Lepisosteus oculatus: one gene and its partners. The protein of the gene in region 4 purifies or fractionates together with the protein of the main gene of each other region. This does not show direct contact. Links are inferred from orthologs where the notes say so. Each region holds a gene or a part of one and is shown on either strand. Other genes may lie near its edges.

Region 1 (7,312 bases), on a different chromosome or scaffold from region 4:
GCTCTTGTCTTGTCTTGCCTTGTCTGTGTCTTGTCTTCCCTGGACGCAGAAACATCGACCGCGGAGATCAACAACAACAACAACAGCGGCGGCGGCGGATCGAGTCCGTTCCGTGTCGCCGGCGGGAGGAGGAGGAGGAGGGACCCGTTCGCGGCGGGGCTGCGCCGGGCGGTACCGGTACCGCTCGGTGCCGCTCGCTCCCGTGTCGCCGGTCGGCGGGGTCAGTCCGGCAGCATGGCGATTACAGGACACTCAGGCCCCCCAGGAGCGACACGAGCACGCAGGGAGACGGGGGGCAGATCGCACGACAGGAGAGCCGCGGGGCGGCGATGAAAGAGGCCATCTCTCTCTCTCTCTCTTCCTCTCTCTCTCTCTCTCTCTCTCTTCCTCTCTCTCTTTCTCAATACAATTCTCTCTCTCTCTCTCCTCTCTCTCAATTCAATTCTCTCTCTCTCCCTCTCTCTCTCTCGCTTCACCGAGACACCGGGTCCTTGGTTACTGTTGCTATGCAGCTGCGGAGGCTGCGAGGCGCCGGGGGGGACGGGACCGGACCGGACATGGCCGGACCGGGCCGGAAGGTGCCGGTTGTGACTGAGACCGGCCGGGTCCGAAATGCGCACAACCGGCCTTTTTGTCACATTTCGGAAAAACAAACCCAACGGAATTGGTGGAGAGAGAGAGAGAAGGAGGGAGGGAGAGAAAATATCAAATGTATAATAACCCCCATACAATTAATAAACATCATCATCATCATCATCATCATCGTCATCGTCGTCGTCGTTGTTATTATTATTATTATTATTATTGTTGTTGTTGTTGTTGTTGTTGTTACAAGGCTATCGGGTCGCACTGAGCAGCTTGTTCAGAATCAGCCCGGTGGTCAGACACCCTGTTACTGAAAACAACCGCCGCTGTTCATAGATACAGTATATAGACACACACACTCACACACTCTCACACAAACACACTTACACACTCTCATTCTCTCACACACACTCTCACACCCACACACAACCTCACACTCTCACACAAACACACTTACACACTCTCATTCTCTCACACACACTCTCACACCCACACACAACCTCACACTTTCACACACACTCTCACACACACACTCACACCCACACACAACCTCACACTCTCACACAAACACTCTCACACACACTCTCACACCCACACACAACCTCACACTCTCACACAAACACACTTACACACTCTCACACTCTCACACACACTCTCACACCCACACACAATCTCACACTCTCACACACACTCTCACACCCACACACAACCTCACACTTTCACACACACTCTCACACACACACTCACACCCACACACAACCTCACACTCTCACACAAACACACTTACACACTCCCACACACACTCTCACACCCACACACAACCTCACACTCTCACACAAACACACTTACACACTCGCACACCCACACACAACCTCACACTCTCACACAAACACACTTACACACTCTCATTCTCTCACACACACTCTCACACCCACACACAATCTCACACTCTCACACAAACACACACTCTCTTTCACACTCTCACTCTCTCTCACACATTCTCTCACACACACACAGTCTCACACACACGTGTAGGGGTCGTCTCCAGGCCAGCGTGTCTGCGAGTGTCTTCCTCGCTCATCCAGTGGGAATCCGCCCTACATCCCGGCCGCTTCAAATTCCTCCCACAAAAAGGGACCTCGTGCAGGAAGGGCGCCACAAGAGAACATTTCTGTTTCTTCAGCTGTTGCCGAGCGGGAGTCCACACGTACACGTCTCCGCTCTGTTCCCGTCCCGCTGAGTCAGCGGGAGTCAGCGGGACGGGAACAGAGCGGAGACGTGTACGTGTGGACTCTTTGAATGCGCGTCTCCCGGGGGGGTCGCACGGACGCCTGGTCGGGGGGGGGGGTGAATCTGACTCGCAGGACACGCGTGTGCCGGACAGCGATGGACACCGACGTATCGAGCGAGGAAATAGGCACGTATAATCGGGCGCGGAGCTGGAAACAGGGTCCGACCAGAGCGAGTCCGGCCCAGCCCAGCCCGGCCCAGGCCCGGGGGATTCTGGACGGGTGGAGCGGGACCTCGGCGGCGCACACCGGCGCGCTGGTCCCGGGTCCAACCCCCGGGGGCGCTGTCTGTGTGGAGCCTGCATGTTCTCCCCGCGCTCGCGTGGGATTGCTCCCGCGGTCCGGTCGCTTCTCTGAAGAAATGACCCTGGTGTGTGTGTGTGTGTGTTCAGTGACGGACTTGTGTCCCGTCCAGGGTGTTGTCCTGCCTTGCGCCCGTTGCCCGCTGGGATAGGCTCCAGCACCTGGCCAAAGCGACGGACCCGAGAGGGGGGAGAGGCCAAAAGCCTGCTGGGAAATGTAGTTTTGTCACCTGGGCCTGTCGGGGCGAAGCGACCGTGCTCGCGGCCTCCGTTCTCGCCATTACTTACCCAGCTGTCCAGCGGCAGAGCTGCAGAGTGACGGACATCCGCGGCGTCCAATCGCCGGGGCAGGTCGGGCGATACCGCCCCTCCCCCACCCCGGCGCCCCGCCCACCTGCCCCCCGTTTGAGGCGGCGAGGCCGAATTGAGTGGCGTGACGTCTACCCAATCGCCTTTAGAAAGAGAGGCGGTTCTCCGGCAGCTCGTCCAATCATGTCCCAGCGAAAGGGGCTCAGGTTTGAGTGGCGGCAGGATTGTCCAATGAACATCCAGATCCGATGTCGGAGGGAAGGATGCTCGCTGGTGGGCTACCGTACACTGTTAAAACCTCGTTTCCACATTTCAGCGCAAAGAAAGATCGTCTTAGCTCCGTCTACTTAACACTTCTTTCCAAAGACGCTGGAAAACCGAGTCACTTCATACACGCTAGAGCAGTGTCGTCTCGTCCTGTATAGAAGAAAAGTTGCACACAAATGTCGGGATGAACGTCTGTTTAATTAAATTCATGATACAGACACATTATTCATGAATATGGATTTAATTTAAATAGACAGATAGCTCCAATCACGTGTAGGAGTTTGATACACTTTGATGAACTGGGGTCTTTTGTTTCTGACAAACCTGACAACGTTTCTCCTTCTCTCACGGCAAAAAAACACAGTACAGCGCAGTACAGCCCAGTAGGATCAGGGTAAAAACACAGTACAGTGCAGTAAAGCCCAGCGAGATCAGGGTTAAAAGCACAGTACAGCGCAGTAAAGCCCAGTAAGAACAGGGTAAAAACACAGTACAGTGCAGTAAAGCACAGTAAGAACAGGGTAAAAACACAGTATAGTGCAGTACAGCCCAGTGAGATCACGGTAAAAACACAGTACAGTGCAATACAGCCCAGTGAGATCAGGGTAAAAACACAGTACAGTGCAGTAAAGCACAGTTAGAACGGGGTAAAAACACAGTACAGTGCAGTACAGTCCAGTGAGAGCAGGGTAAAAACACAGTACAGTGCAGTACAGCCCAGTGAGAGCAGGGTAAAAACACAGTACAGCGCAGTACAGCCCAGTGAGATCAGGGTAAAAACACAGTACAGCGCAGTACAGCCCAGTGAGCTCAGGGTAAAAACACAGTACAGTGCAGTAAAGCACAGTAAGAACGGGGTAAAAACACAGTACAGTGCAGTACAGTCCAGTGAGAGCAGGGTAAAAACAGTACAGCGCAGTACAGCCCAGTGAGAGCAGGGTAAAAACACAGTACAGCGCAGTACAGCCCAGTGAGAGCAGGGTTAAAGCACAGCACAAGTGTGGGGAACCTGAATATGATAAAAACAGAGCGCAGGATAAACGCATTTCTGAAAGAATCGCGACCCATTCATGCTCGACGCCAAGCCGGGAGGCGCCTCTACTCGGTGAATTACGGGCCCGGCGTGTCACCGGCGGAAACCGGAAGAGACCGGAGGCGAGCGAGCGAGCGAGCGAGCCAGGCAGGTAAACAAACATGGCGGCGGAGCCCAGGCGCACGGCGGACAGCGGTCCGGCCGAGGACGGCGACCGGGGCGGGACGGGAGGCGGGCTGGGCCGGGACACGGAGCGCGACCGGGCCACCTTCGAGTGTAACATCTGCCTGGACACGGCCAGGGACGCGGTGATCAGCCTGTGCGGACATCTGTTCTGGTGCGAGCTGGGGTCGGGGCTCAGAGGCAGCGACACTGTCTGTGTGTGTGTGTACACAGAGGGGGGTGGGGGTGGGGAACAGGCTGCCAAGCCCTGTGGTTGAAGCCGATACCCTGGCTTCTCTCCAGACACAGCTGGGTGAGCTCCTCCAGTCAGGACAGGAGGCTCTTCTGTACACAGAGGGGGGTGGGGGTGGGGAACAGGCTGCCCAGCCCTGTGGTTGAAGCCGATACCCTGGCTTCTCTCCAGACACAGCTGGGTGAGCTCCTCCAGTCAGGACAGGAGGCTCTTCTGTACACAGAGGGGGGTGGGGGAGTGGAACAGCTGGATGAATTCCTCTGATCAATTAGCTACTGACCCACCAAACGGGTCTAATGTGCATAGTGACTTCTTGTTTGTAACCTTTCTGAAATTAAATGCAAATCTCTTTGCTTTCTTTCATGAAACAGCTGGCCATGTCTACACCAAGTAAGTGTTTTTTTAATTTCTTCCTTGGTGTATGTTTAATGTAACTTTCAGTCAGTTTGTCTCTCTCCCAGTACAGTGTTCATGTACTGGAGTGTCCAGTCAGTGTGTCTGTATGAACCCCTCTCTCTCTCAGTGCAGTGTTCATGTCCTGGAGTGTCCAGTCAGTGTGTGTGTGTGAACCCCTCTCTCTCAGGTCAGTGTTCATGTCCTGGAGTGTCCAGTCAGTCTCTCTCTCTCTCAGGTCAGTGTTCATGTCCTGGAGTGTATTAACCCCTCTCTCTCTCAGTGGTTGGAGACCCGCCCCAGCAGACAGCAGTGTCCAGTGTGTAAGGCCGGGATCAGCCGGGAGAACGTTATTCCTCTGTATGGAAGAGGGAGCTCAAGTCAGGATGACCCACGGTACTGTCCTGTCCTGTCCGTTGTGTGTCCACTGTGCGCCAGTGTCTGTCTGAGTGAAGTGGGGCAGGTTTTTAGTGCTCATAGACTCCAGCTGCACAGCAGTCCCTTCCTTTCCAGGTTTTACATCTGACCCGTTGTCTAGTGGTAACAGTCGGACCACAGAGCACTGCGAAACCCGGTCTTCTGAAAGACTCAGGAGGTTTCCTGTTTTCCAGTTGTTGGTATCTTTGCTCAGCTTCATGAATTAACTCTTTCTTGGTGTTTTTATAGATTGAAAACTCCTCCTCGACCTCAGGGACAGAGACCAGAGCCGGAGAGCAGAGGGGTGAGTCACTGAGTCAGGGTGTCTGTATGAACCCCTCTCTCTCTCAGTGCAGTGTTCATGTACTGGAGTGTCCAGTCAGTGTGTCTGTATGAACCCCTCTCTCTCTCAGTGCAGTGTTCATGTACTGGAGTGTCCAGTCAGGGTGTGTGTATGAACCCCTCTCTCTCTCAGTGCAGTGTTCATGTACTGGAGTGTCCAGTCAGTGTGTGTGTATGAACCCCTCTCTCTCTCAGTGCAGTGTTCATGTACTGGAGTGTCCAGTCAGTGTGTCTGTATGAACCCCTCTCTCTCTCAGTGCAGTGTTCATGTACTGGAGTGTCCAGTCAGTGTGTCTGTATGAACCCCTCTCTCTCTCAGTGCAGTGTTCATGTACTGGAGTGTCCAGTCAGTGTGTCTGTATGAACCCCTCTCTCTCTCTCAGTGCAGTGTTCATGTACTGGAGTGTCCAGTCAGTGTGTCTGTATGAACCCCTCTCTCTCTCAGTGCAGTGTTCATGTACTGGAGTGTATGAACCCCTCTCTCTCTCTCAGCCCTTCCAGGGTTTCGGTGACACTGGGTTCCACATGTCCTTCGGTATTGGTGCGTTTCCCTTTGGTTTCTTCACTACAGTCTTCAACACCAATGACCCGTTTCACCGCGCAGGTACAGTGTGTCTCTACAGGAGTGTGTGTGTGTCTATACAGTGTGTCCAGTAAGAGTCTACAGGAGTGTGTGTGTGTCTATACAGTGTGTCCAATAAGAGTCTGTACAGGAGTGTGTGTGTGTGTCTATACAGTGTGTCCAGTAAGAGTCTGTACAGGAGTGTGTGTGTCTATACAGTGTGTCCAGTAAGAGTCTACAGGAGTGTGTGTGTGTCTATACAGTGTGTCCAATAAGAGTCTGTACAGGAGTGTGTGTGTGTGTCTATACAGTGTGTCCAATAAGAGTCTGTACAGGAGTGTGTGTGTGTGTCTATACAGTGTGTCCAGTAAGAGTCTGTACAGGAGTGTGTGTGTCTATACAGTGTGTCCAGTAAGAGTCTACAGGAGTGTGTGTGTGTCTATACAGTGTGTCCAATAAGAGTCTACAGGAGTGTGTGTGTCTCTACAGTGTGTCCAGTAAGAGTCTGTACAGGAGTGTGTGTGTGTGTCTCTACAGGAGTGTGTGTGTCTGTACAGGAGTGTGTGTGTGTGTCTCTACAGGAGTGTGTGTGTCTGTACAGGAGTGTGTGTGTGTTGTGCTCTCAGTATCATGAGGTTATATAGCGACTCTCCAGCTGGAATCTGTTCTGATTTGGGGGTTCTCTTCCTCGCCCCCAGATACTCCCCACCCAGGCGGCGGTTACCCGGACAACGGTAACCCCGGCAACGGCAACAGCTGGCAGGACTCCCTGTTCCTCTTCGTCGCCATCTTCTTCTTCTTCTGGCTGCTGAGCATCTGAGGGCGGGGGGCCGGGGGGGCCGGGGGGGCGGGCGAGGTGTCGTCCTGCGGGGGGGCGCCCCCCCCTCCCCTGGCGTGTCTCGACCCCTGACCCCTCTTGTATTAACACGCCCGCCGCGCGCGGTGACGCGCTTGTGCGTGTGGGCTCTGCGTCCGCGCCGCTCCAGAACCGGAACTCGGTCTCGGTACCGCCCCCCCCCCCGGCCTGTCCCAGAATCCCCCTCCCCCTCGATGCGGGGGGCCGGGGTGCTGGGGGGCCTTCTCTTATTTCCTGTGCTTGTTTGTTTGTTGTCAATCGAAATAGTTTTAACCCTTCGGGTCTCTTCGGGGTCGGGGGTCGGGGGTCGGGGGTCAGCCTGGCTCTTATCTTCATTGACTCGTATCTTAAGGACTTCATCGTCTGTCTTAACTAACCCCCCCCCCTCTGCTCGCGGGGCTTTTGGGGCGTCCCCTCACACCCCTGGGGCGATGTTCCTGCGGGCACGGGGCAGATGGTCTCGTCCCGCGCCCCCAGAATCTCAGCGTTCGGTCTCTGGTCACACTCGACCAGGAGGATCAGACTGTGGAGCCTCTCACACA
Region 2 (8,134 bases), on a different chromosome or scaffold from region 4:
TATTATTCCTTCCTTATCTAATACGTGTGTATTTACAGCATTGAAATTTGCAGGTCATTTAGAGGCCATCATGGACATTTGTAATTAATGCATCAAGAGGGCTCAGTAGTGGGCTTTGTTTCTGAATTAAAAGTGCACATTAAGCGAGTTGGTTTTCACCCTCGATAACTAACATGTAAGAAGAGAATAAAATTCACAGAAGCATGGATATATATACAATATAACGTGGATGTTGAATTAATACATTACAACTGTGAAATACTTAGCACCATGTTACTTTGTACATAGGCTATTGAAATTACATGGGATGATACATGTTTTTCCTAAAACATGATCTTGCACTGTTATTGTGTATGTGTAAGATTTCTTTTCAATGACATATATATAATATATATAACCATATAATATATACTCTTGTTTACTTGAATCTATTAAATGGTATTTATGTAAAAATGCATAAAATATGTATTAAGATATTATGGAAATAAAGTACTCCATGAAATGATATAATTAACATTTGGTTTCAATTTATTGATTCTTCCATAATACAGTATATAATAAACAGAGATGGAGGGTTTGGATAAATTATAATACATAATTCACTGAATTCCTGAGTTACTAATTTTAGTTAGATAATAGAAATTATTCTAAAAGAAAAATAGTTTATTTTTACTGACATTTTATAGCAAATCTATTATACTGGTTCGGAGGAAAGTGCATCGATGCCTTCAGTCTAGTACAGGTTTTATTCCAACCCCAGGGGTGCCCATTCCTCGGTTGTACCTCTAACACCGGGGATCCAAACCCTTCATCTCTGTTCCTCAAGATTTAGTCCTTATAACCTGGTCCTGAAGATCCAATTACATGTTATACGATATTATTATTGGCTTTATTACATGCTTTTTCACTAATTGAAGATACCTTTAAATGATTATTCATCCAAAGGATTCGCTTAGGAATTCATCCTGGTTAACTGAGGTAGGTGTGTTACCCACAGGAAAGATGTCTTTCTGCACCGCCTCGGAATGGGTGACTGGTAAAGGCAATCTTGACATATCTTCAGCATTTCTCTGCAGAGCTGATTTTGTATACTTTCTTTCATAGGTGCATGCGGAGAAATGTCGCATGCCGCTCGCAGCCATGGAGGGAATGCATACTGTATGTGAACTCCAGATATTGACCTCAGGCGGCACTAACCAGTGAGAAGTGTGAACTTCTGTCCAAACATGAACCAGTGGAATTTCCAGTGCATCACGTTTAATCTGGGCATGGTTTCTCTTGGGTACACTGGGTACAAGGTTCATGATGCAAAAGCAATGGGTCTCTCTTCTCCTGAAGGCATAATGTGCGATACCTCTGTTCTTACAACATAAGGAGAGGCATCATATACCATTTGGAGAGGTAAGGGTGGGTCAAAAGACCTCTGAATTTAGCAAGGATTCCTTACATTTGTGAAACATAGTATTACAAGCCTCTGTCCATTTCCAAGTTTGTAACCACTGAAATGTTCATTTAATGTCTTAAGAGTGCTTGCTGTGTGGAATGAGTCTTCCACAATACTTTAGTAACCCTAGGAAAGAGAATAGGTGGCTTACTTTTTGAGAAGAAAGAGCTTCTCAGAAATTAGATTCTAAATAGAATCTAAAGATAATCAATAGCACTTAAAGTATAATCAGAAGGTATTCTTGGAGTTCTGTGACCATTTTGTGTTTCAATTACTTATCCACCCTGTTGTGTTTGTGGTCTACTCTGACAAATATCAGACAGGTGATCAACAAAATGATCAACTAACGCATCTGGGAAGGTATTATTCGGAATATAATTTTAAAATTATAATAACCAAACCCCCAATCCCTGTTGTATCTCCTCAAAGACTAGGATAAAAAGATAGAAGTATAGGACCAGCTCCTTTTTCCCCCTTGCAGGAGGGCTGTTCAAGCAGATTGACTGCTTGAAATCAACCAACAGGACAGTAGCAAGCATCAACAGAAACAGGAAGTAGATCAGCGCCTTTCCCAGGAAGGTTGTGAAGGGTGTAAACCAGAACTGACCAGCTGGCCACAACATAGAGATAAAGCTTGTCCTGATAGACTGAGAAAGAGCCAGTGGGAGAGTCCACAGAGGAGAGAAATAGAAACGCTTACAGACCTGACTTTACTGGCATTACTTGTGTTGTCTACTAGAGTTAAGACAGTTCAGGTCTGACCCTGAAGGCTGTGGGATCGGCCAATTACAGTACTTTATCAACATACAAAATATCCATTGAATAAAGTCGGATCAAGATTTTCAATCTTTGCTGGACTGGGGCTGGTTCTAGAATAAGCGGTCCAGGCCCATAATGAATCCTTTAGTGAAGTTTATGAACTCATTATATAAGAAACAGCTGAGGGAAAGAGAGATGTCAGCAGCAGTAAACCAACATGAACATGATCAAGATTGTTGTGAGAAACAGATACAGGCAAAAATACAGATAATAAAATAACACATACACAATCAGAGGTCTGAGCATTATCCTGAAGATATGAGCATAACACCATTAGCAACATTTTTGTTGTTGTTACAGTGTTACCATTTTGATTCATGTTTACATGGAACCTTTGGAAACAAAGAATGAGCAGGCTGAAATATGTAAGCAGTTCCCAGTAGCACTGGCTTTTGGATTTCCTCAATGTGGACTTTTCCAGGACCATACTTTGTTCTCCAGTCTAGATTTGAGAGATTGTTGGGATATCAACTGTTTATTTGATATTCCACAGGTTTCCATGTAGGAATGGTTGTCTTGTAAATAAACTGGAACATTTATTAAAGGAATCTCAATACAACGTGTACACCATTCTCCATGCACTGAGGTAAGGGAGGTTCTGCCCAGTACTCACCTTTAGACTTCTCCTTGAGTGATTTGAGTTCCTGCGCTTCTCGACTGCAAACAACACAACATATGGTTACCACGTTGTAAGCACACCATCACACCCTTAAAACAGCAGTCATATACCATTAACATTTAGTAGACTGCTAAAATGCATGGCTTGGTGGTGCAGTGGTTTACTATTCCTGCCTTGTAGCTCTGGAGCCCTGGGTTCAATTCCAGACCTGGGTAGCTATCAGTATGGAGTTCCCTCCATATATGCATGGGTTTCCTCCGGGTGCTCCAGTGTATGCCACCAGTCCAAAGACGTACTGGCTCTTGGTTCCCCTGCAACCCTGCAATGGAAGAAGTGGTTAGAAAATGGATGGCTCACTAATGCACAGCATCATCACATCTCATTAGCACAGCACCAACATGCAATTATCACATGGGAACACTAAGGCACAGCATCATCACACTAGAGACATCTTGAATAGAACTGGAAATTATCATCTTGAGGGCTGGTTTTCATAACATACTGGCTTTTTTTTAGCACTTCCCCTTAGCTGGTAGGATGAGGACAATGACCACTCCTCATAACCACCTCTATAAGATATCTGTTTGTGTTCTGTGCCACTCATCCACAGTCCAAAATGTACATACTGTCACGCCCTCTGCAGCCAGAGGGCGCTCCTTCTCTGACCTGTCCCTAGTTTCCGGTCTGCTGTCCTTCCTGTCCCTCTCTTTCCCTTGGGCTATATATTTCCGGGTCTTGCACTCTGTCCTCGCTCAGCATTGACGTTTGGATGTCCTGAGACCCGCCTAGCACCAGGGCGCCCCACGTCCGCTCCCTGAGGGCATAGGTTTCTATACGGCATTCCTGAACTCTTTGCACTAATGAGCCCGGGCCTTTTTCCCGTCTCGCCGCTACGCATATGGGTCTTTTTCTGCTCTCCTGCTCCCCACGGTTAGTCCCTTTGGACGTCCGTGACACATACTTAAAGCGACACATGGGGACACTTTCTACATGCTTTATGCTGTTATCTGGGAATAGTTCCTTGATTTCTGTGAAATGTGCAGAGAAAATTAAATTACCACTTCACTTTTCAACTCCTCATTTTATATATAAAGAAGATTCATACAAGAATATTGCAATCTACAGTCCTACAGGTAGGTGAAACTGTAAAAAGATATTACATTGGTGGTGGTAGAGGGGAGTCCCCATTACCTATAAAGCGCTTTGAGTGAAGTGTCCAGAAAAGTGCTATATAAGTGTAAGCAATTATTAATAATAATAATAAGAAGAAGAAGAAGAATGAAAATGAAATACTGAAAAAACTTAAAAGAAAAATAAATGTTCAACATCATTCTTACAGGTGAGTGACATTTGACATGAATTATCTGCAGCCCACAATGTGCAGATTGTATCATACAGGCATACCTGTTCTTCCAGCAGTCATTGTGCTCCTAAAAAAGTGCAAAAATATGTTGCTCTATCTAGAAGACACTCAATAATATATTTTTTCATCCTCTAAAATTAACTTTAAAATCAGGTCTATCAGTGAAAAGCAATTTCACTATTTGCAAGAAACACCCTGAAATGTTTACATCTCATTCACCACCTTTTTTACAGTGTAGTGTCCTGATCACTATATTGGGGCACTAGAACCCACACCGAGTGCTGGATGAGCGCCCCCCTACTGGCCTTTCTAATGCCTCTTCCAGCAGCAACTTCGTTTTTTCCCAGGATGTCTCCCATGCAGCCACTGGCCAGATTCACACTAGGTTACCTGTTGTGAGTTGCAGGGTGATATGGCTGCTAGCATTACATCGACCGAATAACATACATGAAAGACGTATTAAACACGTAAGTCCAGAACGTGTACTTAAAAGATTTTATTTTTAATTACTGTTAAGTCTACTCTAGTAATTCGTCTAAATCCTCTTAAGCTTTACACAAATTATACAACTGAGAACTACAAATCCCACAATTCCCTGCTGACACAGGAAGTCTGTGGCAGTGGTGTATGTAGTGGCTTCTTGTAAACATGGAGCATCCTGAAGTTACATTTAGTTTGGCATATGTTGTGTTTGTAGTTTGCTTTGTCTTAACTCCAAATGAATTCCGATCGGCGGGAGTAACAGTACAAAACATTTTTTCGGGTTGGCTTGGGAGCGAAGATCTAGGGTTCGTTCAATATCACATTAGGAGAACTAGTGTTACAATCCTAGTTCATTCCGTGTTGCCACTTGGTAAGTCAAATTTGGATATTTGCTAATAGAAAAACATCACAAATTGGAAACCTTAGTTGGCTTTTTATTTGTTTAAGTTTTAACTAGACAGTTGAGAAACAGAGAAAAATTGTATTTGCTACGAAATGAAAGATCAAAGAATGAGCTTATAAGGAAAAATAATCTCCATTTTAATTACCTCATCTTGTCTGTTAGTTTTTCGAGGTTTTTATTTAATTGTATCACTTTAAATCTACGCACTGTAATTTACGCATTAGCTTCTACCAGAATGAAACAAGACTCGGAAACAGTTCTGAAAATGTTATCAAAAACTAAATCGCATCTCTGAATACTGAGAAAGCCGTGAAACACGACTTCTTAAATCTGAAACTGAAACGTCCCATATGTTTGCATCAGAGCATACCGCTCCAGAATAGGTAGTGTGTAGGGAAAACCGTCTCTCTTAACTGAGCTCGTACCGGGTTGAGGCCCTGGCGCAGAACATACTTCTTTCCGAGTTTCATCAGGTGAAAGCGCTGGCACTCTGCAATTCATCCATATTTAATAGTGAAAGCGCTTAAAATGAATCCCTCTCCACTGAAATGTGTCATCTCCGAACGTTGTTTTATAATGGCCACGTAGTTTTGCTTTAAATATAAATATTTAATATTTATTCAATACAATTAATAGGAAAACATGGACGTGAAGTCATACACTATTTTCCCCCCCAGGTTATTACTTAGGAATGTGCTTGGCAGCGGCGGACAAGAATCTGTGGCGAATTCACCAGGCGAGCGATGAGTGGAGGATCTACTTCGCCGCCGCAGTATCCCTGCCGGTGATAAGCGGCATGCTCGTGTTTTACTGGTCAAGAAATCGGTGGGGCAAACACCCAATATCCAAGACTCTGGCCGCCCACGCCCTGCCTCAGTCCAGCTGGAGGGCTGTGGCGTCCTCTATCAACACGGAGTTCCGCCGCATAGACAAGTTTGCGACCGGCGATCCGGGAGCCAGGGTGATCGTCACTGACACCTGGGTGATGAAGGTCACAACCTATCGCGTCCACATTGCCCTACAACAAGACATCCACCTGACAGTCACTGACTCCAAGCAACACGAGCTGTCCCCAGACTCCAACACACCAGTGCAGATGCTCACCATCTCTGTGGCTAGTGTGAATCCCCGTGTGAAGCCCTTTGATATCAGGTGACAGTCTAGTCTCTATATAGGGCCTTTCATGAAGAAGTATTAAGAATTTACTTTAATTTAGTAAAGGCTATGTATTTAAAGTAAAGGAAAAAACTTAGATCTTAGATGAGGTTTTAAACAGCCACTGATCTAGTTATCTAGTACATAGAGACAGGCCACATAGAGTCAGGGTATTTCGCAAACGTGGGAGTGTAAGAATAAAAAGTTCTGACTCACATGATGTACTGTTACACAGATTTATAGTCTCTGTAAAAGTATTCTTTGTGATTCGGTGTCTGATCTTTCATGATGTTTTCAAGGATGTCTTGTTTAGAATCTACATCATTTACTTAAATGCTGCTAAACCTAAAAAACTGCATTTTAGCAAGGGGGTTGTCTGACAACCCTTTGGTTATGTCATAACGGGATCTTTATAATAAGCAAGTCCAGACCAATTAACACGCAGCCGAAAGGTTCAAAAACACCAGTGCTCTTTAATTCTAGTGAAGGGCATAAAAAATTGGACACCAGGGCTGAAGGAAAATTGGGTTCTATTTGAACTTGAGGGTTTTATTCCAGTTGGGTCATTCCGTGACGGACTAGAACACTTGCAGTGCAGCACAGTCTCCAGTTTTAATTCAACCTGTTAAATATGGTGTTTTCTTTTGGAAACATCCAAGACAAAAAGTGCAGAGCGTACTTTGTAGTCATCTGCTTAATGAGGCCTGACATGAGCACTGGCTCAGAAAAGGAGTGGTGTCAGTGTGTGGGCAGAAGGGGACAAATACAGGTTAATTCCATGGTGAAAAGTAAATATAGTCAAATACACTATCGAGTACGTAGCTGCGTCAGCATGCGTAGGCTGCGTAGCAACAGGTGAAGGTTCATTCCATGCTGAAAGGAAAAGAAAAGAACCGCAGTGTTTTCGGCTGTCCAGCCTTCTTCAGGTGTGGGGGAGAGAGAGAAAGTAGCACTTTGCTTCTCTCCCCCAAGGATAGCAAAGACAGACTAGATAGAGATAGATCAGCAAGGAGCAAAATAGCTTAATTATAACCTGCACTGTCAATTGTGTTTATATGCAATAGGTCCCCTTCTTTTGTTTATACTTTTTATTGTACAGCTCTTTGAGATCTTGTTAAATGTATTTAATAAGATAATCTATTTGATAGAGTATTAGTATTTGTATAGACCCTGCCAGATTCCAAGGACACAGCGGACATCCATGGATACATTTAAGTATTTCAATCGGAGAGGAAGTTGAAACTCCTGCTTTAACTTAGACATTTGTACTGGTTATTTGTGAAAAGCTTCTACATTTGTTTTGTTTTTTCTAGATCTTGGAGCAATTCTTTTTTATTGGAATTTTAGAGGGATAAAATTGAAATGGCTGTTTCTGCTTCAGCAGTTTATATTATTTGTTGAAAGAGCGGAAATGTACTTTTCCACGAACCATTGATTATTTCGAGATCCCCGCAACATGTGCAGGATTGTGGCTTTCAAGGACATGAATAGACATATAGAACTGACAGTCCCAGCTGGGGAAAGAGTTCAAATCGTGATTTCATTCTAACTTGAAGAGCAATGTTTGTATTTCATATTTTTAGTAATTGATTTAATTTTCCAGGTTGAATTCTGCGGAGTACGGTGAGTTGAGGGAAAAGCTTCACGCTCCTATTCGTAATGCAGCCAATGTTGTGATCCACCAGACCCTCAGTGACCTCTTTCTGGAGACATTTAAATCCCACGTGGAAGTGAACGAGAGCTACTCGCTTCCCAGTAACCAGGTAAGACGCTGCAGGGCACAGACTCTGCTGGCTTTTTATTTTGCCTGGTCAATTGAAAGCTCTGGTTGTTTTTTTTCTTTAATCA
Region 3 (8,393 bases), on a different chromosome or scaffold from region 4:
GGGCTTCGCTGCTCTCTGCAGGAAATTCTGTTCTTTGAATATCTTTCCATCCTTGGCAGCCTATGGAAAGAAACAGTCAGATTAACAGAACAGTGGAATACAAGCATTACACAGACTCCCTTCTGGGAATTAAACAGGAACTGAAAACCGTCATTCTGGTCTTACAAGAACTATACCCAGTGAGAAACAGTGCTCACATAACCCCTAGACATACTGTAGAAGTGAAATTAAGAGTCACTGCTCTTGAAAAGGGCTGCGTACATTAAACAGTCTCTCACTGCAAGACTCTGCCATGTCTCATCTGAAATGGGTACTTACTAGTTTGAGGGTGTATTTGTAGTCAGCTGTGGGGGCTCCAGTGGTAATCTGTTGAACTGAAAAGAGGTTAAGGAACAGAAGTTTTATTTTAAAGAGGTAAACAGAGGGATGATTCAAAGTTCAACAGTTTCCTGTATCAAATCAACATGTTTCTATTTGCACAGTGTATGTCGGGCGAGAGCGACTAAGGACAAGGATTCCACAGCAGAGATTTATTTTTCATTTCCAACAGTTCAAATACCATTTAAACTTCAGGCTAGAAAATGAGCAAACCCTGCTTAACAAGGTCTAAAATGACTATATTCATACAGCAACACGTATAAAACAAATTGAGCTTTTACTTCACATATCATTATAAACTGGCATCTCGCACTATTCAGAGTGACACAAGGACAACACTGACGATCAGCGGGGCAGTAAAGGACTGGTACTGTATATTATGAATAAGTCAGCTGAAAGAGCACAAAGGTCATGTCCTGCACTGCTCCGGCCTCGCTCACCTCCGTACAAAAGCTCCGAGTCGCTCTGGCGAAGCAGCTTGGTGAGCCTCCACTTCCTGCCCGCGGTGTCCGTCAGCAGCTCGCTCTCCTGGAGGGGCTCGATGCACATCCTCCGCGCTCTCTTGGGCGTGCTTTTGGCTGAGGATTAGGGAAAGAACGATGAAACACTGGGAACTCTGCAAAATCTGCGTTCTGACATTCGATTGCCCCGTCTTCCTCTCGTTCCCTGTTCGGTCCCACGTTGGCGTGGTCTGCACAGCGGAGATGCAGGAAGGCCAGCAGGGTTATTTCCCAAATCAGTTGTACTGGAGCCTCTGAAAGGCCTTCTCTATCTGCAGCGCGTGCCAGCATTGTGGCTGAAGCTCCCCCCCCCCTTTTCCACAGCCGAAGTGTCCACTTACCCCCAAGGGGGGATTTAGGAGAGGGTGAGGCCTCAGCGGTGCTCTCCTCTTCCTGCTTGACTCTTGGGGACGCCTGGCGTTTGCGCGGTGACAGCGGGGCACGGCTAGCTACACAACAGAGACCACGCGTCAGGGCCGTGAGCCAAATGGCTGCTGTGCTTGAACGTGCCCATGTCTAGACGCACAACACATTCAGCAAAGGGAAAGACAAGGAATGCTGTACATGCAGCTGTGCACCACTGCGTTACCTATCTATGAATTGGCTTCATTACTCTGCTCTCCTCCCCACTTATAGCTGATGTGTGGTGAGCGTTCTGGGGCACTATGGCTGCCGTCACATCATCCAAGTGGATGCTGCACACTGGTGGGGGTGGAGGAGATCCCCATTACCTGTAAAGCACTTTGAGTGGGGTGTCCAGAAAAGCGCTATAGAAGTGTAAGCAATTATTATTATATTATTACCGCCCAGTGTCACAACTCACTGCTGCTTCTGGCTGGCCACCCTGCTTACCTCCAGGGAGGCTCTTGGGGGATTTCGATAGGGAGGCAGCTGTCCTGGAGCTGACCTCCTCTTCCACCTTGACCTTGGCGGCCGTCAGCCGTGTTCGGCGAGGTGGAGTGAGCGATGGGGCGTGAGCGGGGCTGCTCTGACCTGCAGAGGAACGAAACACACGTCAGGGTTTTGAAACAGCTGCCCTTGCCCTTGTACCCTGCAGGATGTCTAATTAAACATGCACAGGAGTATGGGAAGGAGCAGGGCAGTGAGGGAAGTCAGAAAGAACAGAGCACAGTGATGTTTAATGAGTCAAGACTCAAACCATGTGAAGACTTGGAAAGCAAAGAGAAAGTGCAATAAAAGCACAACGCTTGAAACACACAGTAAACTACAATATTGGCCCACCAATTTTCACTAATAGCCTTCGTGACATTTTACTTTAACACCGTGAGTTACTCAAGAGTAGCATAATTACCTTCAGAAGTGAAGGATGAAAAGTAACTAAGAGTAAGTGGGTTCATCTTTACTGGAGTGCTATTTTCACAATTAGTGAACAGGAATGAAATGTTGGAAATGCATTGGTTAGAAACTTATTAAACTATATATCTACAGTATATAATGAGTCTCTATCGAGATTTAGGTAAATTGCTCTGTGTAATTCTTAAAAGACACCACAGACACGTCTACTTGCTCTTTTTTGATGGAAACCTATTTACTCCGAGATGGAATGGTAACCATTCCACAGTCATTCAAAAGCCAACCTCCCCCCCGCCCCGTGTAACTCAAATCAAAAGCACGGAGACATCCAAGCACAAGCCGCTTCTCCGAGCGGTGTCTGTCTCTTTCAGCAAGGCGCACGCTGACGTCCCGTACCTGGGGGGTCGCTGGTGGTCACCTGTGAGATCGCTGAGGCTGCAGCCTCTTCAGGGTCCTCAGTGGGCAGCTTCTGTCCGCAGGACGGACAGAACTTGAAGCCCGCCTGCAGCTTGGAGCCGCACTGAGGGCAGTAGTGAAGGATCATGGTGCTAGAAAGAGGAGGAAAGGTGCAGGCTGAAGTTCTGCTAACTGTGATGACTGAACTTCCTTCATGGTTCTAATAATTATTCCTTACACGTCTATAGCGCTTTTCTGGACACTCAACTCAAAGCACTTTTTTACACGTTTAGTTTGGCCCTTAAATATAAACACTTACAGACGATTGCTTCTGGGGGGGTTATATAAAACAGTTTATCGATTTAACTGACGTTTTCATGAAACCGATGATTGCTTAACGTGTTCCTTAATACAAAACCCCGGGTTGCGAGACGTATTTAATTTGTTTTAACTTATTCAGTATGTCTCACATTGTCATAAGCTCAGCGTGATCGACAATTAATATTCATTGCACAGGTCCCTACAAAGATTGACCACTTCTTGTCTGTTAAAATGAAATACATGTTTGTATTTAACAAGACGTACAACAATCGCATATGAAACACTGGTATGTCACTGCAGGACTGAGAGGCGCTGGCTCGCCCTGATTAAGACAAGTATTAACACCTCGGAAGCAGCAGAACTCAATTGCACCGCCACTCAAGTGAGTTTTACTGTGCAAAACAGGCTGCACAGTCACCGAAAAGAGGGCAGATTGTACCTCAAGGTCCAGCGAATCCACAAAAACCGATATAACTTTCCCTCGCCAAACACAACCGTCAACACTCCTACTTGAAGGACTTATCAGTTAACCATGTTGCACGACCAGCTCCAGCCCCTCAGGAACTGGGCCGCCTCGGCGTCACGTGACAATAACACCGCTGTACGTCACAGGACGGGGCGCCGCCTGGGCCAAAATGGTTTGCGCGTCCCGACGTAGCGAAGGCGTTGAAAACGAGACGTGCTGCGATTCGCAAGCGTGACGTTCAATTAATATTTTATAGTTAGTGAAATTTTTGTGACAGACGGTAACCCCTAATTGCAGACACTGCTTTTGTTTTGTAGCCGACTAAGCCACCTCTAGCTTAGTCATTCTCAGGATCTTAGGACCCTTTTCTCTCACAATAGGTTCCTTTTATTAATGAATCACCAGTGTCCCCACAGACAAAACACTTATCCAACATAATTACACCTTTTTATTACAGTTTCTCAATCTACACAGGACCTATGACACTACTTATCCACCAGAGGTACTTCCTCTCAGAACAGTTCCAGGACCAAATGCCCCAAAGGAAAAGTCCGTGTGTCAGACACTGGTCAGTCCACGTCAATTTAAAGTCAGCCTAGTCCCAGAGACCAGCTGTCCCTCACCTGGATTTGGTAACTTTCTGACAATTTGACTTTCTGTTGAAATAATGATTAATACAAAAAGCTATGTAATGACAGAGATACAACAGTCTATGCTGTATTCGTTGGACTATTGGAACAGTTGGAACAGTGTCAGGTCCTGAAGGAATGTTTTTTTTTTGTCTTAACCTATGAAAACTCTCCTGCTTGCCTTTGGGAGGAGAGGGGAAACAGGTCTGAAAGACAACATCAGAGCTCATCATGTCTCTGGGGAGAATGAATGGCACCAGCTTCTAATCTCGGTTTTTCTCCAGCCAGGCAGTTCTGCTTTCAAGTCTCTCTTAAAATATTTACTCCCAGAGTGATCCAAGCTGCCACAGCCTTTCTTACGAAATGGTTCAGGGCCGTCTGCTCTTCGCCACTAGCCGACACCAGTTTCAAAACCGAGCATTTTGCATAGGAGATCTATGAAAATAAGAATTTGCATAGAAAATCTATGAAAAGTAAGACTCTGGCGACATATATAAAAAATATTCTGAAATAAGGGGACACAAACCCTTATCCCCTGCGCTCACGGAAGTGATGCGAGTGATTTTGAAATTCAAAAAGTAAAAAAAAAAGATAAGTCTTACATTATAGAACTGTGTGTTGCGGAACTCATCATTCCCATAATTCCCCATATTCATTATTCCTTAATTCTCCTCTTTCTTTTTTGTGGTAAATTAGTAGGATTAATGTAAGAACTTTATTGGATGAGCATTTCCAAACTTAAGAATAGTTAAAATTAATTGTTATTGTAACCTAAAATATCGATCACAACAATGGATTATCCATTAAATTCTAAGAGAGTATTTGGAAATGTTTTTTTTTTAGTTTCTATTGACTAATCTGTCACGAATTAGCGACTCTATGGCAGCACAACCGGAAGGAGGGCTTGAGTGACGCTGACGCAAACCGGAAAAGAGGAGCTCAGATGGAAACTCCGAGAATTAGAAACTGGAGACGGACTGTGGAATAAAAATAAACACTGCCAGACTCGTTTTGCATCTACTGAGAGGACGAGTAGAGAAAAGAGTGGAGGAGACCGAATTTGTAAAAAAGTACGGAGGTCGCTGACATAGTTTGTTCGACCCTGGCCGGTGCCAAGTCAACTAAACCTTACCCGCATCACAGTGGAGGGAAAACGTATCAGATGGACTCTTAAAAAAGTGTATTTAATCTTAAAATAACGTCTGCATCTAGTCGTCGGGGCCGCGGTCCTCAAGCAGCTGTGAAACCGTTGTGCTGTCAGCCTGTCGAAGCTGTTGTGTTGTATAACAGGGCCACGGAAGGATTGTGCAAGTCTGCTGCTGAAGCAGTAACTGGATCCATCTGGAAACACTAGTAATATCGAGGCCAGAGAGTAAGAAAAAACCGCCCCGTTTTTACTCATTAGCAAAAGCAACACAAGTGCCTGCAGTTATCCGAGAAAATCATCAGGATTTAGCAGGGTTACAACACCCCCATGTCGCAGAATGCGATATATCGACAACAACTTTGAACTGGCTTATCCTCATGTAGTCCGTCCGGCCTGAATCTGTCACTCTTAATTAGTTTGACTGGGTTTTTTTTTTTACAACGTTTTACTTCAATAAAAAGAACCAATTTAAACCGTTATTGATCGCATCTCCGCGGTGTCGAGTCCGTGAAACAAGGTATTGAAACCGATTGTATTTATTGAACTCGGAGCCGGTCGAGCGCCAGGATGCCGTTGCTGTTCCTGGAGCGGTTCCCGTGGCCCAGCCTGCGGACCTACACGGGCTTGAGCGCGGTCCTGCTGGCTGGGAGCATCCTCAGCGCCTACAGCACGGTGACCGAGCCGGGCTACAGCCTGCCTGAAGCCGGAGACCCCCACCCCAGCCCGGGTCAGGACGAGAACCAGATTGACGGCGTCGGGAACGGAGTCGCTGCAGATGTGCTGTGGTACCTCGTTTCGGACAGCTTTTTTGTTTGGGTATGTAGGTAGACAAAACAGGAATCCAATGCAGATGGGTATTGTGTTTTACGTTATTCATTTTAAAGGGGTGGCATGTGTTCATTTCTTATTTTCAAATTAAATTGACAGTGTCATTCTAACTGTGATGCCGTTGTTCGGTTCCCGTACTCCTGTTGAGAGTATTATTTATTTATCTGCTGCCTTTCAAGTTAAAGTATCTCAAGGTGCTTTGGTCACCACTTTATAAAAATATATTTCTGCTCTGGGATCAGCCTAGGTAAGACCTTTTTTGTCTTGGAACAGAGAAGACTTCAAGGAGCCTGATTCAAATTTTAGAAATCTTCAGTATCAACAGTGCAACATGAACCAGAGAGCACAAATGGAAACTGTGTGAAAGTGCATTTAAAACGGTAAAACAGAAATAGACACCTAACAAGCCAAATTGTTTGACTGGACTCGTTTGGCTTCTCGCCATTCTTAATATTCTGAAGTTCCAGGGTGCAGTCCATGAATGCCAAGTGATTTAACTAAAATTAGGACTAATCGGAATACCAGCAGTGCTCAAGTTTCCACAGGCATGGGAGCTGATGAGAACAGTCAATGTTTATTTGTTGCAGAAAAAAAAAAAACATGACTTCATGTCAACTGAACAATTCGATCGTGCAGGAGCTTGGATTAACTTCAGATTTTGTGCAAACAGATGTTGAGTGGGTTTCTGTAACCGTGCTAAGTGGCTGTATGTTTACTGAGCACATTTGTTGCTTTACGCTAAACTACTGAAGAGGTTACATGTAAGGTGATGCCACATGGATTACAGTGTAGATTGTTTTTGTACCTGTGACTCTGTTTTACCCCCACAACACAGGTCCTGGTAAACACAGCGTGTTGCTTCCTGATGATGATTGCCAGAATGATTCAGTACATGGTGTTCGGCCCCCTGAGAGTCAGTGAGAGGCAGGTAATGAGAATCGGATTTCTTTTCCTTTTCACACCTGGAAAATTGAGAGGTCTAAAATTCATACTTATGATAAACTGTAGTGATTCAATTTTAATTGTGCGCAAAACTAAGCAGGCACCTTTTCTGTGATTTTGTTACGCAGGTATGCTCCTGTTTTGAAAATGTTGTGGGTTTTCAAGACATCTAAGTAAATAAGTGTGCAACAGCATGTTTACACAGTTACAGCAGAGTGCATCAGTATTGCATCACGAGATTGTCAAGAGGATTCCGGTTTAGTAAAAAGGCTGCATGATGTCAGTCTTCATGCTGAGATACACATATAAGTTACATTAGGCTTAACTCGGTTTTCTCAAGTTTATTTAAGTGGTAATGTGGACAATAAAGTCTGTTCTGTTAATCATTCACAAAACGCCTAGAGATTTGGTAACTGAACAACTTTAATCCCCTGAGAAGCCTCTCAGACAGAGCTTGAATGTGATGGTTTGGTCTGACTTTTCTCAGTCTTTTAATTATTTAGCTGTGAAGTTTATGTATTGAATGCAACCTTCTGATTAATTTAAGTAATGGTTGAATCTTTTTTATGGACTGAATTATTATAGCTAATAATTTTTAACTTTATCAGCCACGTGCCATTTTAGCTCCAACACCAAAAGAAATGCCAGCTAAACACCGAAGCAACCTTACAACATTCTGTGATTGCACGAGTGTTAGCAAAGCTGTTAAAATTGTTGATGTGAGCCTTAGCATCTGTCCGTCAATCTCTGCAGCACCTGAAGGACAAGTTCTGGAACTTTATCTTCTACAAGTTTATCTTCATCTTTGGCGTGCTGAATGTGCAGACTGTGGAAGAAGTGGTCATGTGGTGCCTTTGGTTTGCAGTGCTGGTCTTTCTGCATCTCATGGTCCAGCTCTGCAAAGATCGGTTTGAATATGTAAGTAGCACTGGACCATTCAAAAAGTCAGGTGTGTGCTGTTATTTGCTATGCAGTCTGTGCCCCGCAAGGCCAGCTCGTTAGACAAGCGATCTTTTGGAAGTCCATGAGGTGTATTTCCCGTCTTTAGTTTAACCCTCATTTTTAATGTCTTATGACTGGTGTCACCTTATAGCAGCTCCTCTGGTTTAGATGGTGGGATGTGTAAAGCAATCTGAAAGTACGGCTATTAACTTTTGTTGAAGGAAATCTGCACCATCCTGCAGACGTGCCAAATCCTTGCATACAGTGATTTTGTCACTGGGTCACATGAAACGGTCTTAGAAATGGACGGGAGGGGACAGAACCCCATGTTCTTCATGCTCTGTGTGCTCCCCAGCTGTCGTTCTCGCCCACCACCCCCATGAGCAGCCACGTGCGAGTGCTGTCCCTGCTGGTGTCCATGATGATCTCCTGCTGTGGGCTGGCTCTTGTCTGTGGGCTAGTGGGGCTGTCCCATGGAATGCACACTGTGGCCTTCATGGCTGCTGAGGTACGACCAGTCTCCTCCTAAA
Region 4 (7,705 bases):
GAAGAGACAGCAGACTCGTGACCTCTCATCCAGCTCACCAGCTCCTTGGAGTCTGACGAAGGCAAAAACACAGTCTGAACTTACAGGGAGTTTACAAGCTGTAGGAAAGCACTTTGTCAATGCAGTGCCTGGGACACAACATAGGAAATATAAAGAACCTTCTCTTTGTTATGAATGGGACTATGTAAGTCTACATACCCTAAATCAGTGCACCAAAAATATGATCCTTCAACATTTTAGTCTGCGGTTAGCAATCTGGAAAGCAAAAAACCTGGATACTGAAACTGTGACAAAGCAGTTCTCTGATCTTATAACTAGCCAATTACCTAATAGCGCAGGGAATTCTCAGCTTAGTGCCATGGACGTGTGTACCTGTATCAAAGCACTTGATGGAGTAGTCGGCCAAAGCCACCAAGTACTCTGTCTTTCGGCGTAGGTTAAAGGCCAAAGCAGTACAAGCCTGCCCAGTCTTCTGAACAAGCCTGAACCTAGGACAGGACGAGAGACCACCAGAAGTGCGACTGCAGAACACAGCTAGGAAACACATCAAGGATAAAAAATAATAATTAGAAATCTGATTTACTTGCTGGCACAGGAAATGCCGGAATGAAATTTTACAACGCAAAGAAATTTGCAAAAAATAAAGAAATCAATGGTTATGAAGGGGATAAGAACTTGATGGCCTAACCCATGTACTCAGCAACCTACTGTTCCTCTGTAACTTTAAAAAGGTTTAATCATATCCAGGTTTTCAAGCACCTCTTGCTTCACAAATGTCTTACAGGCTTCAGTGACTTTAAATGCCCACACCAGGTCATCGCCTGTAACACTAGCTGCTCTGCTTCAAGAACTATTTGCACATTTAACTCTAAACTGGGTAGATATCATATAGTGACAAAGTTCGAGTGGGGAGCTGTGTCAGCATACATTGGTGAAAGTAAAGGTTAATTCTTTATTGAAAAGAAGAAACAATGTTTTGGCTTTTGAGAGGAAGGAGAGAGAGGAGAAGGTTGTACACCTGAAGAACACTCAACACCTGAAATATTGCGTTTCTTTTTTCTCCTTTTTTAGAGTGAATTTAACCTCTATCTTTTCCATTATATTGACAATGCAATCACGATACGGCAGACCAAGACTTCTGTATAAACCAGGAAGGCCGCCTGAACCTTTGCTCCGTTATCAATAGCATCCTGCAATGCAAAATGCTCCTGAGCATGAAATGTTTTCGCCAGTCAATTCTCAACTTGGCAGGTAAACATCTAGTGACAACACAATTCACATTTTCCAAAACAGGCCATCACCTGCTCACCAAAATTCTCCTTCTAAAACTGTTTGTCCAGTGACTTCCCAACTTGCTAGGTATCATTATAGCTTCCACTTATTTTCCTTAAAGAGTTCACTGACATTATCAAAGCAACAGGGTATGGAGTTGCTTGGAACTCTTCAAAAAGGTTGTGATATTCTAGTTATTTATTCCTTTATCAAATGCCTCTATCCAGGTTAATGCCAACTGGATGAGTGCTTGTTTCTTGATGATTTTCGTGACAAATCTGCAAGCACATGGCAGTCCTCACAGCTGAAGGCAGAGAGAGCCCAGGCAGCTGCTCCCGACTGTATCCTATTGGCACTCAGGGCGCTGGGCAGTGCTGCCTGGGTTAGCTAGCATACAGGCAACTTTTATGAGCAACCATCATTCTATCACATCTGATGATGGTCATCACATTGCACTGTAATGGCCCCTTACAAAGATCTTTTTAAATTTACAGGTACTCCAGAGTGGTTCAAATCAGACACGACTGAGAAACAGCATGAAAAACTAAAAGAGTCCTGATGCCAGGAGCTCCAATTAAAAAGCCTGAGGTCAGGTAGCTGTGAACAGCCCAATCCTTTAGGTATCTCACACATCACAGATACGTCATGATAATGTACCTGTTTCTGCTGATATCAAAGACATAGGTATTTCCATGGTGGTCTCCCGCTAAAAACGCTTCCCCTGTTGTGTCGAAGGCAGCCTGCAGAAAACGAACAGTCTTGGAATGGTATCCTGCTGCACTGCGAATCACTCTGATAAGGACCCTGTAAAGGAAAATTAGGATCTCTTATTACCCATTTTAAGGCGCTACTTTATCGTCAGCAAATGAGCCCAGACATTGTCTACACTCGTACAGAGGCCTCATGAAGCTAATACAAAAAATCAGCTCTTTGCAGTCTTTTTTTTAAACACACACCCTTCCCTTGTCCCGTTACAGCATGGATTGAATTGATCAATGAAGACTCAAACACATTTAAACAGATTAGAATCTGAATCTGAAGATCACTAATATACATACTCGTTTATCTCGGTAGGGTGTCATCTGTGCGAGATGCCTTTGTAAAAGAATTCACCCTGGGCACTTTCGTCACTTCAAGTTCAATTTAGTGTTCCATTTGCATCTCACATAGATGACAAACCCTTTGATTTAACACATGGATATCTTCGTGACTTTTCACCACACAATGGTACAATAACGGGCACCCAAAGAGCATTTATTTAGATCACCCTAATAAGTGTATATTACGTCACTGGAATGAATGATAGCTCACTGAACGCAGAAATGGCAAAAGACGTGCAGTTATTACTGCACACCAAGCGGTGGCACCACTGTTAAGAAATACATTTCCCTACGGGATAACACTCAAACTGAATAAATGAATTGTCACTACATGAAGTACTATCCATCAAGTTAAAGTATACACTTTCCGACAGTCTTGAAGTCGGAAGTATGCATGTGGAGACTTCTTTTTACTTTTTTGTGAGTTGTTGGCGTTGTCTTCTCTGGCATAACTATTTCGAATACTTTATTCGCATACACGTTTCCGCAATGATCCAATACAAACAATTGTCTGCTTCATATACGTAAGTAAACTGTTTCATGTTCACTCACACTGCACTTTACGCTAACAATCGTCTTACTTAAACAGATCATGTTGTATGGGTATACATACGCATTAATTCCTCTTGTAGAACACGCGAGTTAACAGGATTAAAATGGACATACGCAATATTGATCTACAATATCATCAGGCAAATGCTAATGCCAATTAGAAATCTTTACAGCGCGATGATAAACTTTGCTCAATCCAGCCTCCTGGAATTATCGAACTAAAAATATGTCTGACAATACATAAATCACATTGCAAAACACACGCCTGAAGGATTTTATAAATCCGTTTATTTGACCACCTGTAAATTCCTGTCTGAGATAAACGATACTAACCCATCACTTGGTGAAGGCGTTGGCTTTCGGTACCAGATTTTCCCACATTCTTTGGTGCCTATATCCGTCGTCTGCATTTTGTTACCTGGAGGACAACCACATAAAACTCAGTTATAGTTTTTTCTCCCAACGGAGTATTGCCACTGCGCCTTCTTGTACTCACCGTTGTGAACCCGGCGGTTACAGTACCGCGAAATTTAAAACGATTCTTAGATACATTCGCGGTGCAATGATTAATAAATTCCTAATGTATATATTTGGTGGCTATACACAAGTACAAGTTTGCATAATTTCTAAAACCGAGTTAACAAAAACTTTCCGAAACGTCTGTTAAAGCTGTAAAGCAGTTTGCAAGTTTGCAAGTAATGCCAGTTTGGTTGCCATTACAATAGGAAGTGACGAACAGGTAAACAGAGAGAGGTGGCTGGTGGGTATTGTAGTTTAAAAGCATTTCCTGCTGTTGCGAGCAGGTAATTCATACTTTGTAAATGTGTGCTTTTTAATATTAAACAAATCCTAAATCCTAAAACAAACCTGAGTGTGTGGCAAATATTACACATGGGGAAACCTGAGATAAACTTTTTTTAAAACAGACTTAATGTCCTTTCAAATATATTGCTTCGGGTTTAGTTTGACAAATTGTACAGCTTATTGTAACGGACACGTCTGATCAGTAAGGAGCTGCTAACTAACCACGGAATCATTCCCCCGTAGCGCGATGATTCAGTGCTTTATAATTGACTTATTACGGTTAAAACATAAGATTACAAGTGCCGATTTATGCGACAAAAATATTTTTAAGAAGGCAATGTCAAATATGTAAAGAAGTATTAAATTAAATTAAACTCACAACCAATGCTTATTTTTAATATCAGCGGGCGATTAGCTGTCAGGAATCTTTTCCAAAACTACTCATTGTATTGGCTGTTAACATTTCAACAAGTGATCTCCCCGGTTGGTGAACCGGCACCGTGTTGTTCGCGTAACCTTGCAAACAGGAAAACAGAAAAATTAAAACGGCCTTTCAAAAAGATTCAAAGATAAAAACAACAGCAAACTAATGACAGATCCTCTGTGATTGACTTGCCACCCGTTCGGAGAAGTCAGACTCGGCTGGAGGTCGGTGGGGCCTACCGCCCCCTTGCGGTCATGCTTGTATAATTAAGACACAGGAAGTGTCGCCCTTTGACAAACTACTCCTGAGCAGCCACGTCAGGGAAACTTGAAGATAGCGAAACGAAACGTTGAGTCCAAAAAGACATTACTGTGCGTCGCGGACAACGAAGAGGGTTTTGTGGGAGATATTTTGGCTTGGATTTGGACTTCATTCGGACTGTTGTATGCATAATTTTCTTGAAAATGTCAGATATCGGGGACTGGTTTAAGAGTATCCCGTTCATCACCAGATACTGGTTTGCTGGGTCAATCATAGTACCCCTAATAGGAAAACTGGGACTCATTAGTCCCGTGTACCTCGTTTTGTGGCCGGAATATTTTATTAACAAATTTCAGGTAAGACAAGATCTGACTCTGCTCAATTGAAACCCCGTTACGCGTCGGTTAATCCTAGAAATGCAAAATAAATTTATTTTTCTACATATGACATCATTATTAAACAACGTTTGACGTTTTAGTTTTCTCTTTACTGCAAAGCGTGGTGATTTTTACTGCCTTTCTGTGTCTGTTATTTATTTTCAGAGTTCAAGGAATTCATTTCAGGGAGTCATTTACTACCTTGACAGACTGGCGTTTCTCGCCGTTTGTAACCTGCCGATATGCATGTTGTTTGTTTTTTACAAGAATGCGGTCGTTATGGGCATTTTTAAATATATTATCGAAATACGGCGGAGTTAAAGAACCAAAACAATGCCGAACAGGGCTTTATTGGCGAGCTAGGCCTGACGAGTGTACGTCCCCTCGATTGACAAGCAAGCTGTCCACTCGCGTGCGCGTCAGTTCCCCGGTCTCCAATGGTGACGCAGCGGCGGTCGGACTTCCGGGAAACCGTGACGCTTTGTGATCGCAAACTAACCCCCAGACATTGAGAAGGATTTGTGTTGGGATACTATGATCCGGGCATCGTTTTTTTCTTGTTATTCATTTACATTTCAAGTGTGGAGGAGTAGGATATGAAAGAAATACTAGAATAAAACGTCTGTATTTTATTAAAGAAAAAAAATACGATTTAATAGCAATCTGCTAATGGTATACTTTCCCATTACGAGATGAGAATAATCGTAATTAGACAAGTGTAAACTGCTGTTGATGTTATAAATATAGTCCCATTATCATCAATCACAACCTTTCTTTACTTGTGATTGATAATAATAGGATTGCATTTATCATTTGTAATGATCTGGTTAGTGCAGCTTGGTGCATTAGGGTTTTCTGTTACAATATAGTCTTTGTCAAATTAGTAATACTGCTGTAGTACTAATGTAAAATACATCACGGATAATGTGCAAGTCATGGTTGCTTACTTTTCTTCCTAGTGGAAACTTAAAAAAAAACAATTAAATGAATACTTGGTAGATAGGCCTGTGTACACTCTCTGAAGTATAGTGCGTTTTGAACACTTATACAAGGTCAGTTAATTCAGGGAAACATGTGAAGGACACAGTGGTTTTCTTGTTTTAAAAGATAATGTATGAATTTTATGGAACGTGCTAACCATCAGTCTACCCAGAGTTAAACATACTGTATGTTAGTTTATAGTAAAATGAAAATTACTTTCAATTTAGCATTGGAATATCAACTGACTTTTCTACTTGATTTCTGAAAGAGTTTTAGATGAATCATTGAGTCAGCATGGAAAAAGTGCAGTTTAATTTGGAGAGAACTTACCGGGTGGAGTGGTGGCCCTGTGGGTAAGGATCTGCGCCTGTGACTGGAAGGTTGCTGGTTCAAATCCCACGGCCGGCAGAGGAATCCTACTCCGTTGGGCACCTGAGCAAGGCCCTTAACCCCAGGTGCTCCAGGGGTGCTGTATAAGTGGCTGACTCTGCGCTCTGACCCCAAGCTTCTCTCTCCTTGTCTGTTCGCCTGTTGTTCTCATGGAGAGCAAGCTGGGGTATGTGAAAAGATAAATTCCTAATACAAGAAATTGTATATGACTAATAAAGAGATCTTAACTCTTTATTACTTAACTGTAACCCTGCTTACAATTATAAGGTATGTGTCATAACATTAAATGCCCACAAGGTGGTGCTGTTAAAACAGATGCTGTATAAGCTGTGATGCAAGACATACATACCTATACTTCTTGGTGATGACTGCATGGAGCTTAGTGTATGGTCAGGAAAATATTTAAAAGATGTAAGACTTTTTGACATTGTGTAAAAGGGGTTAATTGTTTAAAATGCACTTCACGTGCGCTGTGGTTCATGTATCGCAGTTTATTCTGAAGCAGTCCATTAGGTTGACTTTGTCAGTGCCTTTGAATCTTTTGCATGTTTGAATCGGGTCCCCTCAAATCCAAGAACCTACTTGATCACTGTTCTTTGGCAGCAATATTTCTTTTGTGCTGACCCAAATGTTTTAAATGGAGTCCCCCTAACTCATATTCATTGGTTGATATTTTATGCTTTTCTTTATGTATGTTTGAGTGGGCAGCTGCAAAGGAACAAGTAAAGGTTAATTCCACACTGAACAGTAGAAAGAAGAAACCCAATATTTCAGCTGTAGTGCCTTGTTCAGGTGTGAAGAACCTAAAGGAACCTCACACCTGAAACTTTCTACTTTTCCGTGTGGAATTACACCTTACTTGTCTCTTTTACCTGTCTATGTACTACTGTACATGTATAGCTAATAATATTGTTTGCCTGTTTTATTTTTTCCATACATTGCTTGGTGGAAGAAAATGATGCCAACGTAACCTTCAATCTTCTTCGAGATTAGCATTTCACATCTTAAACTAGACACTCTGCTTTTCTGCAGTGTTTTTGATTTTTTTTTGTGTCGATTCTACCATTGCTAACTAGCTTTGATGTTATCTGTATCATTGATATTATGTTAGGAGAAGCAATGGACCTAATGTAGATCCTCGTGGTACTCCACTAACACAGAGCAATAAGAGCATTTATTTAATCTGTATCCTGTTTTCTATCCATCTACCAGCTCAGTCCAAATACTTGCATTCCTTTTGATGCCAACAGCCTTTAGGTTTAGAATGATTGATTGTTTTGTGTAACTTAATCAAAAACATTCTGAAAAACCTAATACTGAAGCCATTATCATGTTTTCATTTTATGGTCATATTAATGTCGAAAGATTACAAGTGAAAATGGTTAAATATTGAAGATGTAGTGTTTATCACAAAACTGATTTTCAGCTCCCTTTCCTCCTCCCATGTTTTGTATTGCTGTTTAGAGTAACCATAATCGTGAAGAAACTGTGAAAGTGCTGTGAAAGATGGATCTTGCAAAGACAAGTTTAGACTACAAGGCAAA

What was found.
Region 1: the proteins of derl1 (region 4) and rnf5 purify together in Homo sapiens (affinity purification with western blotting; 4 studies listed by BioGRID and IntAct, with this or other methods). This does not show direct contact. The link is inferred for Lepisosteus oculatus from reciprocal best matches to the Homo sapiens genes DERL1 and RNF5.
Region 2: the proteins of derl1 (region 4) and tmem129 purify together in Homo sapiens (affinity purification with western blotting; 3 studies listed by BioGRID). This does not show direct contact. The link is inferred for Lepisosteus oculatus from reciprocal best matches to the Homo sapiens genes DERL1 and TMEM129.
Region 3: the proteins of derl1 (region 4) and amfrb purify together in Homo sapiens (affinity purification with western blotting; 4 studies listed by BioGRID, with this or other methods). This does not show direct contact. The link is inferred for Lepisosteus oculatus from reciprocal best matches to the Homo sapiens genes DERL1 and AMFR.

What each region holds. Positions count from the first base shown.
Region 1 is NC_090709.1:39,110,373-39,117,684, reverse strand, and holds the start of rnf5 (E3 ubiquitin-protein ligase RNF5), read left to right. Parts: upstream 1-3,942; 5' UTR 3,943-3,946; coding exon 3,947-4,122; intron 4,123-4,571; coding exon 4,572-4,590; intron 4,591-4,876; coding exon 4,877-4,989; intron 4,990-5,259; coding exon 5,260-5,314; intron 5,315-5,844; coding exon 5,845-5,956; intron 5,957-6,612; coding exon 6,613-6,734; 3' UTR 6,735-7,312. UniProt on the Homo sapiens protein: Membrane-bound E3 ubiquitin-protein ligase that mediates ubiquitination of target proteins. May function together with E2 ubiquitin-conjugating enzymes UBE2D1/UBCH5A and UBE2D2/UBC4.
Region 2 is NC_090696.1:34,284,902-34,293,035, forward strand, and holds the start of tmem129 (E3 ubiquitin-protein ligase TM129), read left to right. Parts: upstream 1-4,859; 5' UTR 4,860-4,893; coding exon 4,894-5,098; intron 5,099-5,808; coding exon 5,809-6,283; intron 6,284-7,889; coding exon 7,890-8,049; intron 8,050-8,134.
Region 3 is NC_090715.1:3,658,126-3,666,518, reverse strand, and holds the start of amfrb (E3 ubiquitin-protein ligase AMFR), read left to right. Parts: upstream 1-5,336; 5' UTR 5,337-5,718; coding exon 5,719-5,967; intron 5,968-6,814; coding exon 6,815-6,907; intron 6,908-7,674; coding exon 7,675-7,839; intron 7,840-8,218; coding exon 8,219-8,371; intron 8,372-8,393. Other genes in the region: serine/threonine-protein kinase VRK3, read right to left, coding at 1-60, 319-374, 819-956, 1,220-1,327, 1,731-1,871, 2,589-2,736. UniProt on the Homo sapiens protein: E3 ubiquitin-protein ligase that mediates the polyubiquitination of lysine and cysteine residues on target proteins, such as CD3D, CYP3A4, CFTR, INSIG1, SOAT2/ACAT2 and APOB for proteasomal degradation.
Region 4 is NC_090705.1:10,758,179-10,765,883, forward strand, and holds the start of derl1 (derlin-1), read left to right. Parts: upstream 1-4,415; 5' UTR 4,416-4,616; coding exon 4,617-4,769; intron 4,770-7,705. Other genes in the region: tbc1d31 (TBC1 domain family member 31), read right to left, coding at 1-52, 373-488, 1,930-2,076, 3,258-3,334. UniProt on the Homo sapiens protein: Functional component of endoplasmic reticulum-associated degradation (ERAD) for misfolded lumenal proteins. Forms homotetramers which encircle a large channel traversing the endoplasmic reticulum (ER) membrane.